Sus scrofa: one gene and its partners. The protein of the gene in region 1 purifies or fractionates together with the protein of each later gene. This does not show direct contact. Links are inferred from orthologs where the notes say so. Each region holds a gene or a part of one and is shown in the gene's direction. Other genes may lie near its edges. The genes, in order: CUL9, GLMN and APEX2.

The links.
Region 2: the proteins of CUL9 (region 1) and GLMN purify together in Homo sapiens (affinity purification with mass spectrometry; 3 studies listed by BioGRID and IntAct, counting the BioPlex papers as one, with this or other methods). This does not show direct contact. The link is inferred for Sus scrofa from reciprocal best matches to the Homo sapiens genes CUL9 and GLMN.
Region 3: the proteins of CUL9 (region 1) and APEX2 purify together in Homo sapiens (affinity purification with mass spectrometry; 3 studies listed by BioGRID and IntAct, counting the BioPlex papers as one, with this or other methods). This does not show direct contact. The link is inferred for Sus scrofa from reciprocal best matches to the Homo sapiens genes CUL9 and APEX2.

What each region holds. Positions count from the first base shown.
Region 1 is NC_010449.5:38,232,313-38,235,966, forward strand, and holds part of CUL9 (cullin-9), read left to right. Parts: intron 1-2,558; coding exon 2,559-2,766; intron 2,767-3,654. UniProt on the Homo sapiens protein: Core component of a Cul9-RING ubiquitin-protein ligase complex composed of CUL9 and RBX1. The CUL9-RBX1 complex mediates ubiquitination and subsequent degradation of BIRC5 and is required to maintain microtubule dynamics and genome integrity.
Region 2 is NC_010446.5:124,790,892-124,794,545, forward strand, and holds part of GLMN (glomulin), read left to right. Parts: intron 1-453; coding exon 454-484; intron 485-585; coding exon 586-675; intron 676-1,862; coding exon 1,863-1,904; intron 1,905-2,008; coding exon 2,009-2,082; intron 2,083-3,241; coding exon 3,242-3,326; intron 3,327-3,654.
Region 3 is NC_010461.5:47,868,309-47,871,161, forward strand, and holds the end of APEX2 (DNA-(apurinic or apyrimidinic site) lyase 2), read left to right. Parts: intron 1-966; coding exon 967-1,875; 3' UTR 1,876-2,271; downstream 2,272-2,853. UniProt on the Homo sapiens protein: Functions as a weak apurinic/apyrimidinic (AP) endodeoxyribonuclease in the DNA base excision repair (BER) pathway of DNA lesions induced by oxidative and alkylating agents.

The sequences.
Region 1 (3,654 bases):
GTGTCTGCAGATTCCCTCTGCATGTATGGAGTCTGGGAAGGCTGTGTGTGTTAGTATGCATAGCACTGCCTCATTCTTGCTGCTGTCTTGGGCTTGATTCTACCCAAAGCAGAATACAGCACTAGATGTTGTCATTTTTTAACTATCAGATTGGCAACATTTCAAATGATTGTGATCTCCTTGTTTTAATTTCTCAGTTCTAGAGAAGTTAGGCATGTTTGGGGGTTCCCATTGAGGCTCAGTGGTAAACGAACCCGACTAGCATCCATGAGGACGAGGGTTCGATCCCTGGCCTTGATCAGCAGGTTAAGGATCTGGCATTGCCTTGAGCTGTGGTGTAGGTCGCAGACACGGCTCAGAACCTGCATTGCTCTGGCTGTAGGCTGGTGGCTACAGCTCTGATTTGGCCCCTAGCCTGGGAACCTCCATACGCTGAGAGCACGGCCCTAAAAAAAACCAAAAAGACAAAAAAAAAAAAAAAAAAAAAAAAAAAGCTAGGCATGTTTTCATGCCTTTGTTGTGTTTCTTCCTCTGTAAATATTCTTATCCTTTGCCTGGTTTTTAATTGGGTCTTTTGTCTTTTTCTTATTGATTTACAGACATTCTGGATATTAATTTGTTACTTATGTTTCACATATTTTGTCCCCCCCCCCGCCAAATGGTTTTAATTTTCCAGGTGTAAAATAATGCCTGCTCACCTTAAAAAATTAGAAAATCATGACGATGACAGTCATCTGAAAACCTTTTATGTAGTTGTAGTCACTGTTAACATTTTGGTAAACATCCTTATTTATACCTGGACATTTATTCATATGTAGCGTATGAACTTGTTTTAAATAAATCGTGGCTACAGAAGAGGCTATAAGTTTAAACCTATTTGGTTCACATGACTGCAATCTTAAAGCTCATAAGAAAAAACAGAACTTTCTCAGTACCGTTATTTGCCTTCTTTCCCAGAATTTGCCTCCTTTCTTCCCTTGTTCCCAGGCCACCTCCTCAATATGCATCTCTGTCACTGTGGAGAAAGATGTCAATTCTGACACATTTTTCCTCTGTAATGCTCACTGCCACCTAGGGACTCTGGGGGCGCTTCCTGCATCCCTTCAGATCAGCCTCTGCCAGATCCTCTTTCCAGCTCATGTGGCTGTTGTCTTAACTCTGTGATAGTGTCTTTCATTACGCTGAAGTTGTAGATTTTTGTGTTGCTTTATTTTTCATCTTTTTTTTTTTTTTTAATGGCTTCCAGCTTTTGAAAGGGTCTATTCCACTGTAGGATTCTAAAAATATTTCCTTGTATTTTCTAAAAATATCTATGATTTTGTTTTTCGCATTTATTTTAAGACTTGTTTGCATTTTGGTTTTGCAAACAGAATGAAGCGGAGCTCCAGGCTTTCGTTTTTTTCAGATGGATAGCCAAGTGTTTGTGCCTCATGTTTTGCATGGTCCTAACTGTCCTCACTGGCTGAGATGCGGCCCTTTTTTTCCTTCTCATCTGTTGATCTGTTGGGCTACCCTGTATTATTTCCAGAGTTTTAATTAGTATAAGTTTATATATATATTTTTTTGTTTGTTTTTTTAGGGCTGTACCCACGGCATATGGAGGTTCCCGGGCTGGGGTCAAATTGGAGCTTTAGCTCCCAGCCTACACCACAGCCATAGCAACATCAGCTCTGAGCTGAGTCTGCGACCTACATCACAGCTCACGGCGACACCAGTTCCTTAACCCACCGAGCGAGGCCGGGGATCAAACCCGCAACCTCATGGTTACTAGTCAGATTCGTTTCTATTGTGCCACAGCAGGAACTCCTGCAAACATTTCTTGACTCTTCTTCCATATTTTCTCTTCCTATGCCTCAATCTTTTTTTTTTTTTTGCTTTTTAGGGCTGCACTTGCGGCGCATGGAGGTTCCCAGGCTAGGGGTTGAATTAGAGCTGTTGCTGCCAGTCTATACCACAGCCACAGCAACGCAGGATCCGAGCAGCATCTGCGACTTATACCACAGCTCACAGCAGTGCCAGATTCTTAACCTACTGAGCGAGGCCAGGGATTGAACCTGCATCCTCATGGATGCTAGTCAGATTCGTTAACCGCTGAGCCACCACAGAAACTCCCTGTGCCTCAAACTGACTGTTGTTTTTTTTTTCTTCTGGCTCCGCCCATGGCATGCAGGAAGTTCCTGGGCCAGGGTTCGAACCCACGCCACATGAGTGACCCAAGCCACCGCAGTGACAGTGTGGGATCCTAAGCCCACTGAGCGACTGGGGAATTCCATGTTTTCTTTTTAAAAACCTTTTAGGCATTTTGATTAGAATTATGCTGAATTTATAGATTTCTTTGAAAAGTTGCACCAGAGTTCCTAACTGTCCTGCTCTCCTGCCTCCTTTATGAGGGAAGAGCCTGAAACAGACTTCAGGGGAGCGGGCGTTGGGAGGGAGACTGAGGCGAGGAGAGCAGGTTGGAGAGCTGTGGGGGTGGCCTGGATCTTGGGGAACAGGGGTGAGCAGGGAGTCAGGCATGGCTCTGCGGATGGGGGGCCCTGATGTCTCCTCTCTCTCAGAGAGAAGCTAGTGAAGACGCTGGTGGAGCTGCTAACCAACGAGGTGGGAGAGAAGATGGTGGTGGTGCTGGCCCTGCGCCTTCTTTACCTGCTCATGACCAAACACGAGTGGCGCCCACTCTTTGCCAGGGAGGGTGGCATCTATGCTGTGCTCGTTTGCATGCAAGAATACAAGACCTCCGTCTTGGTGCAGCAAGCAGGGCTGGCGGTGAGTGCACTGGGCCTGGTGATAGCATGTGGGGTGCGGGTTGGGGGCAGGTGGGGGCCCTGCCGGTCTGAAGAGGTTCTCTGGTGATTCAGGCGAGGAGGCTTTGGGATGGAAAGTGCAGGCGGATAGGAGAGTTCCAGCTGGATGGTCCTGGAGATTGAACACCTGTCTGGAGGAAGGGAGAAGGGTGTTTTTAGGAATGACTCCCAGGTTTAGAAGTGAGCAGCCAGAGTTCCTGTCGTGGCTCAGTGGAAACAAATCCAACTAGCATCGGATGTGCACATGCTGTGCGTGTGGCCCTAGAAGACAAAAAAAAAAAAAAAAAAGTCAGCAGCAGGGTGGAGGAGGTGGTCATTTGCAAAGTGGGAGAACGCTAGAGAAGAAAGAGGTGTGGGGGGATGTTCAGGTTGAATTTTCAGGTATGTTGAATTTCGCATAGCTTTTTGGTTACAACGAGGGTGTCTGGTTTTGCTTTTTTTTTTAAGTGTTGCACCCTCGGCATATGGAAGTGCCCAGGCTAGGGGTTGAATCGGAGCTGCAGCTGCCAGCCTATACCACAGTCACAGCAAAGTGGGATCCAAGCTGTGACTGTGACCTACACCACAGCTCACGGCAGCGCTGGATCCTTAACCCACTGGGTGAGGCCAGGGATTGAATCCGTATCCTCACGGATGCTAGTCAGATTCGTTACTGCTGAGCCACAGCAGGAACTCCTGGGTGTCTGATTTTCTCGATGCGACAGAGTATTTTGTAATGCTTTGATCTGAGTGGTACTGGTACACAGTACTCCCTCACCAGGCATGGGTAAAGCACAGCCAGCATCACCGTTGCCTTGCCTCCCTGGGCCCAGAGAATGGGGCCAGGAGGCCCTGGTTCAGGGAGAAAGAA
Region 2 (3,654 bases), on another chromosome or scaffold:
AGAACCTGCAGCCTGAGATAATTTTTTTTTTTTGCCACAGATCTTAAATATTTAGTTACCAATGATTGTAAACCTTTTAAAAAAATTATCACAAATGGAAAGCATCAATTACATAAATATAAAAGCTGGAAAGATTTTACTGATTAATCAACTAGAATAGTAGTTTCGTATGAGGTAAAATTGATTTCTTAGCACTTGCTATTGAAGATCTACTGATCTGATATCAGGAAGTAAGCCCTGAGTGGGCTAATTTGGCCTAGATTTCAGTGTCAGTAGCCAAAGAAAAGAAAAAGGTGGATTAAGAATTTTGATTCAGTTTTTCAACAGAATTTCTCCTTAGTGCTCTGCATTTTTAAAGTATTTAAATTATAATTTTTGCTTTATTTTTCCTAAAACAATAATTCTGAAGCAGTGTAGCAAACCATGTTGATAAATTTCAATATTTTCTTCCAGAACAGAAGAGTCTGTTTTGTCCAAAGGACTGGTAAGATTTGCTTACACCTATTGTAATTTAAATAGTCATGTTAACAAATACAGCTATCGACTTCACCATATATGTATCTCTGCATCTATTTGGATCTGCAGGATCTGTTGGAGAACAGTTTATTGAGAACAGAGGACAGCAGTCTGCTCCACCAGTGCTTAGAAATCAAGAGTTTCCTTACTGTACCTCAGGCAAGTGAAACATGTATCCTGACCTTGAAAGAAGCCCTCTTCCTATTCTGAACCTAGGGCTTTTCAGACTGCTCTCCCGCTTTCTGCTCCATGTCCTTTGAAAACTCTGGTGCCAAGCTGTCCAGTAGAACTTTCTGTGATGGTAAAACCTCACTTATCTGGGCCTTACAGTTTGAAAGCCATGAGCCACACTGAACACTTGTAATGTGGCTAAGGAACTGGATTCTACATTTGATTTATCTTAATGTAAACTTAAATAGCTGTATGTGACTGCTGTCTGCGAGAGTCGACAGCACAGCATCTGGGGAAAAATACAACTTTCTTCTTTAATTAAAACACTTTGGTTCTGTAGGAACCTTGGAAAATGAAGCTCCTTTACCATAACTCAAATCCCCAGGACTCCATCAAGGCGTGTATAGCTCATTACTACAAAGATGTTTTGTTTTTCCCTCCTGTGATTTATTTTGCTTGTTTATTAGTGATACTGTTTGTTATCATAGATGTAGGTCCTTAGATGTCAATGTAGAAAATGGTTTCTCCACTATTTAGACAGAAAAATATAGCTTTTCTTATATATATATATATATATAAATTTTTTTTTTTTTTTGGTCTTTTTGCCATTTCTCGGGCCGCTCCCGTGACATTTGGAGGTTCCCAGGCTAGAGGTCCAATCGGAGCTACGGCCGCCAGCCTATACCAGAGCCATAGCAATGCAGGATCCGAGCCGCATCTGCAACCTACACCACAGCTCACGGCAACGCCGGATCCTTAACCCACTGAGCAAGGGCAGGGATCGAACCCGCAACCTCATGGTTCCTAGTCGGATTCGTTAACCACTGCGCCACGACGGGAACTCCGCTTTTCTTATATATTAAGTCTGATTATTTTAAATTAATGGATTATATTTCTGCATGTTTGATTTCACTTTTTTGCCATTCTAGACATAAGTGAAAATTACTGTTTACTTCTGACAATACACTTTGTAGCATTCCTCTCAATATCACTTACAAAATGGATTGTACTTAGCTTCCTATAGACATAACAATGGAATAAATTTACTTCTGTTTTTAGGTCTGTTACTCTCTTTTCTCTAAATTTTTAGTGTTCATTGGCAATGGATAATATAGTTGTTTCCTGGCAGTCGATATAACCTAACATTTGAATTAAAATTTTGTTTTTATTTCCAGGGCTTAGTCAAAGTAATGACACTCTGCCCCATTGAGACATTGGTATGTAGACGTTTGCGGACTAAATAATAATGGGTTACACTGAGAAACTTCAAGAAATAATTTCATCTTTAGTTTATGTAACAATATTATTTATTCCATTGTAGAGGAAAAAGAGTTTAGCTTTGCTTCAGCTGTATATTAACAAGCTGGATTCACAAGGCAAATATACGTTATTTAGGTATGTATTGATTAATTGGTTGATTAAAAACCAAATTAATGCCATTAATTATTCTAGGTTATTTTATTTTGATATGTTTTACTCAGAAGCCATATATTATAATCAGTTCTCTTATCTGTGATGGGTAGAGAAAGGTTAATCAAAAATTATGGATGCATATATAAATTACATGAATAAGAGTATATGTTTCAATTCAATTAATTGAAACTCTCTAAAAGTCTTAAAAAATTAAACCAATATTGATGAGGCTCCTGGTAGAATTTACAGGTGTCAGTAATCTCCATTATTCACAGTTGAAATGAATGGCTCCGGAGTTAGAAGTTTCGACAGGCTGCTCAGTTTACCAGTAGAGCTTGTCGGTAGCGCTGTTTGAGGAGGAAGCCTGCGGCAACCCTCTTGAGTTAAAGATCGGCAGAGTCTCTGTGGGGACCATGAGTAAACAGCGTCTGGAGGGGCCCACAGTCTCCGCTGCAACTGCTCAATTTTGTGTTTGTAGTCGGGGGTGTGTTCCAGTCAAAAAACAGGCAGCAGGCCGGGTTTGGCCTGCCGACCTCAGTTTGTGTCTACGTAGGTAATTAAAAATGGGTTAAGACCCACTGGGGCAGAGTTCAAGGGCTGTGTTCTTTGGGATTGGCTGATCCTAGCGTGCTTGATCCATCTTTTCTTCACTTTGAATTGATGGGATCAGAGTAGGTTTATGAAGGCCCCACTGATGCTTAGGTCTTATGCCAGCTTTCCTGTCTGTCCTACTTTCATTCCTACCAAAAACTCCCTCCTCTTGAACTAACAGATTGAGTTACCTTTCTTTGCAATTAAGTTAGTCTAACCAAACTAGTCTAACAGGGACTAATTTGGGGAATTTTATGCTGTTATACTAGTGACCATTCTTGTCATGTCAACTCATTGCAACTATATGCATAAAGAGATTCAGATTTGGTTTAATAGGAATTTCTTGTTGGAAAGACCCAGTTCAAATAGAATTTGCCAGTTAGTAAGGGCAATAACCTTAATAGGTGACTTTGTAATTGCTACTGGTCTTCACTGGTTTTTGTATTCCTTGAAATAACACATGGCCCATCTGAATTTGTAAAACTTTCATCATCATTTAAATATAATGCATCCAGGATAATTTCAAATGTATTGTAATTTTGCTTTAAAGGTGCTTATTGAATACAAGTAATCACTCAGGTGTGGAAGCCTTTATTATTCAAAATATCAAAAATCAAATTGACATGTCGTTAAAGGTAAGAGCATAACTGAGATGTCAATTATCAGTTTATTTTATTACTTTTTTTTTTTTTTTTTTTTTGTCTTTTTAGGGCCGCACCCTCAGCATATGGAAGTTCCCAGACTAGGGATCAATTTGGAGCTGTAGCTGCTGGCCTACACCACAGCCACAGCAACTCAGGATTCGAGCCACATCCGAGACTTACCCACACTCATGGCAACGCTGGATCCTTAACCCACTGAAGGAGGCCAGGGATTGAACCCACATCCTCGTGGTTCCTAGTCGGATTCGTTTCCGCTATGTCATGGTGGGAACTCCCCAATTTATTTTATTTTGAAGAATGT
Region 3 (2,853 bases), on another chromosome or scaffold:
CCCACTCATTTGGTCAGTGAGTCCTGTTGATTCTAGCTGTAAATTATCTCTTAATTTCATTTTGTTTCCTCTGGCAGCACCCTAGTCTGAGTGACCAAGTGACCATCATCTCTTACTTAAGTGCGTGGACTATGGTAGTCATCTTCTGCTAGTATTCTGGCCGACAGTCTGGTTGCCCTTCAAGTCTTTTGGGTAGGCTGCCCCCTCCCTCCATAGGCCCATCATAGAAGTTATTCTCTCATTTTATAACACCCTCTGCCTGGGTAATTCCTGCTCCACCTTCACTTCTCAGCTCAAGATCATTTCCTTAAAGGAAGCCTCGTTGGTCCCCAGTGCAAGCTCAGAGTCCCACTTTGTTCCTAGTATTGTGCCTGGTGCGTAATCAGTGTCTCTTTGAATGTGTTGCATTGAATGAGTGGGTGAGTGAATTGGATGTGTGAATTGGATGGATGATGCCTTAGGGATCAGAGCCAAAGGAAGTATTCAGACATGAATCCTTGGAGCCCCTCAGCTCAGGATGGGGAAGGTTGGTCAGTGAGGTCTTTGACACATACAAGATAAACCAAAGTAGTACCAGAGTGTTTAAATAAAAAGGCAACAGTCTTCTGAACTCCTAACTGCAGCCATATTTCCTAGCAGTAACCAATTTTAACTTACTTTCCATTCTCTTGGTGAGCAGTTCTGAGAATTGCCTTGATTAAGCAAATAATGACCTTTCAAATTTGGGATTTATGGCCCAGTGCAAGGTAGATAGAGCCTGATGCAGAGGGAAAAACAACAATGGGCTTTTAAATCAGTAAGGATGGAAAGTGAATCCTAGCTCAGCCAGTTCCAGACTGTGTGACTTTGAGCAGTCTTCTTTGGAGTAACCACATTTTCTTGTCTGTAAAATGAAGCAGTTAGTTTAAGTCCCCTCCAGTTCTAGGCATTTAGTTCTTCTTTCTTTGTTCCCCTCCCCCTTCCCAGGAATGCTTTGAAGAGGACCCAGGGCGCAAGTGGATGGATGGCTTGCTCAGTAACCTGAGGTGCCAGGCTGGTTCCCATATGGGACCTTTCATTGATAGCTACCGCTACTTCCAGCCAAAGCAGAAAGGGGCCTTCACCTGCTGGTCGACAGTCACTGGTGCCCGCCATCTGAACTATGGCTCCCGGATTGACTATGTGCTGGGGGACAGGGCCCTGGTTATGGATACCTTTCAGTCCTCCTTTGTGCTGCCTGAGGTGATGGGCTCTGACCATTGCCCTGTGGGTGCAGTCTTGAACGTGTCCCCTGTGCCAGCAAAACAGTGTCCACCTTTATGTACCCGCTTCCTCCCCGAGTTTGCAGGCACCCAGCTCAAGATTCTTCGCTTCCTAGTTCGTCTTGAACAAGATCCTGTGTTCAAGCAGTCTGCACTGCAGCTCAGGAATCAAACACAGGTACAGTTGCGCCAAAATAAAGCCCGTGTGCGATCAACCAGGCCTCGGCCAAGTCAGACTGGCTCCAGTAGAGGCCAAAAAAAACTGATGAGCTATTTCCAGCCATCCTCCAGCCGTCCTCAAACCACTTCTAACTTGGATCTTCCTAGCCTTGGCACCCTCGTGACCCCAGAGACCTCAGAAGAGGAAGCGATGGCCAGTGTGGTGGAGGGGCACACCAAGGTTTCAGAGGCCAAGGATAAAAAGGAAGTACGGAGCTTGTTCTGGAAGTCTCTGCTGAGAGGGCCCTTACCCACACCCCTCTGTGGGGGCCACAGGGAGCCGTGTGTAATGCGAACTGTGAAGAAGCCAGGACCCAACCTGGGCCGCCACTTCTACATGTGTGCTAGGCCCCAGGGTCCTCCCACTGACCCTTCCTCCCGCTGCAACTTCTTCCTCTGGAGCAGGCCCAGTTGAACCAAGCCAGGATATCTGGCATGGTCAACCTTGCACATGATCTGAGGCCAGCTTCATCCTAAGCTGCCTCATCATCCCCCAAGGCCTCCTTCCCTTCCTCCTCCTCCTCCTCTTCCTTTTCTTCTTCCACCTTTCTCAAGGACCCATCCCTTCCCTCTTTTTCTTCCTCCAAGGCCTCTCTTCCTCTCTGTTCTTCCTGCCTAGCTCCTCCTCACTAGTGAGCTTCTTGGGCCTTAATGCTATAACCCATATCCCCACCCTACTTCCCATCTTCCTGTCAGAAGTACATAGGAACCAGTTGCCTGGGGAAGTTGTGATTTTTAAACCACTTTCTTACTTGTTGGGAAATGTAGCTGTGCCTAAATAAAGTCCACGTCTTTGTTGCTACTCACCATATCATTTTGAATGTGCTTCATGAAGTTGACTCAGAGATGTTATTTCAGTACTGCTTGTAGCCTGATAATAGAACTCCCAGAGGAGAGTGGAGGAAGGAGGAGTGATGCTCATTGTAAAGGTACTCTGTTAAGTTGTCAGGTTTCCCTGCACTGCTAAGGGTGAATCAGCAAGGGAGGTGGGTGGGTGTGGTAGAAAGCTGAGGCAGCCAATGAAACTTTTAAACAGTGCTTTCTAACTGGTATGTCACACAGATGCCACAGATGGGTTACAGGGTGGAAAGAAATGAGTCCCTCAACCCTAGAGTTGCCGAGCAGTACCAGGAATTACACAAGTGTCAGGAAAAATTGCCTCCAAGGCAACTAATACTATTATTTCACCCAAATGTGCCATGCAAATGTTTTCTGTATGTTATGACCTAGAAAGTTTGGGAGCATTGCCTTGAACAAGTTCTTGCTATAGCCAAGCCTCTTTCTCACCTTGGGAAACAGAACTGATAAATCCTTTTCTATAAGGTGCTGTAGGAAGGAAAGAGGATCATGGATTGAGGAGGACCTCCATTCTCTGCGGGAGAATACCTCCATA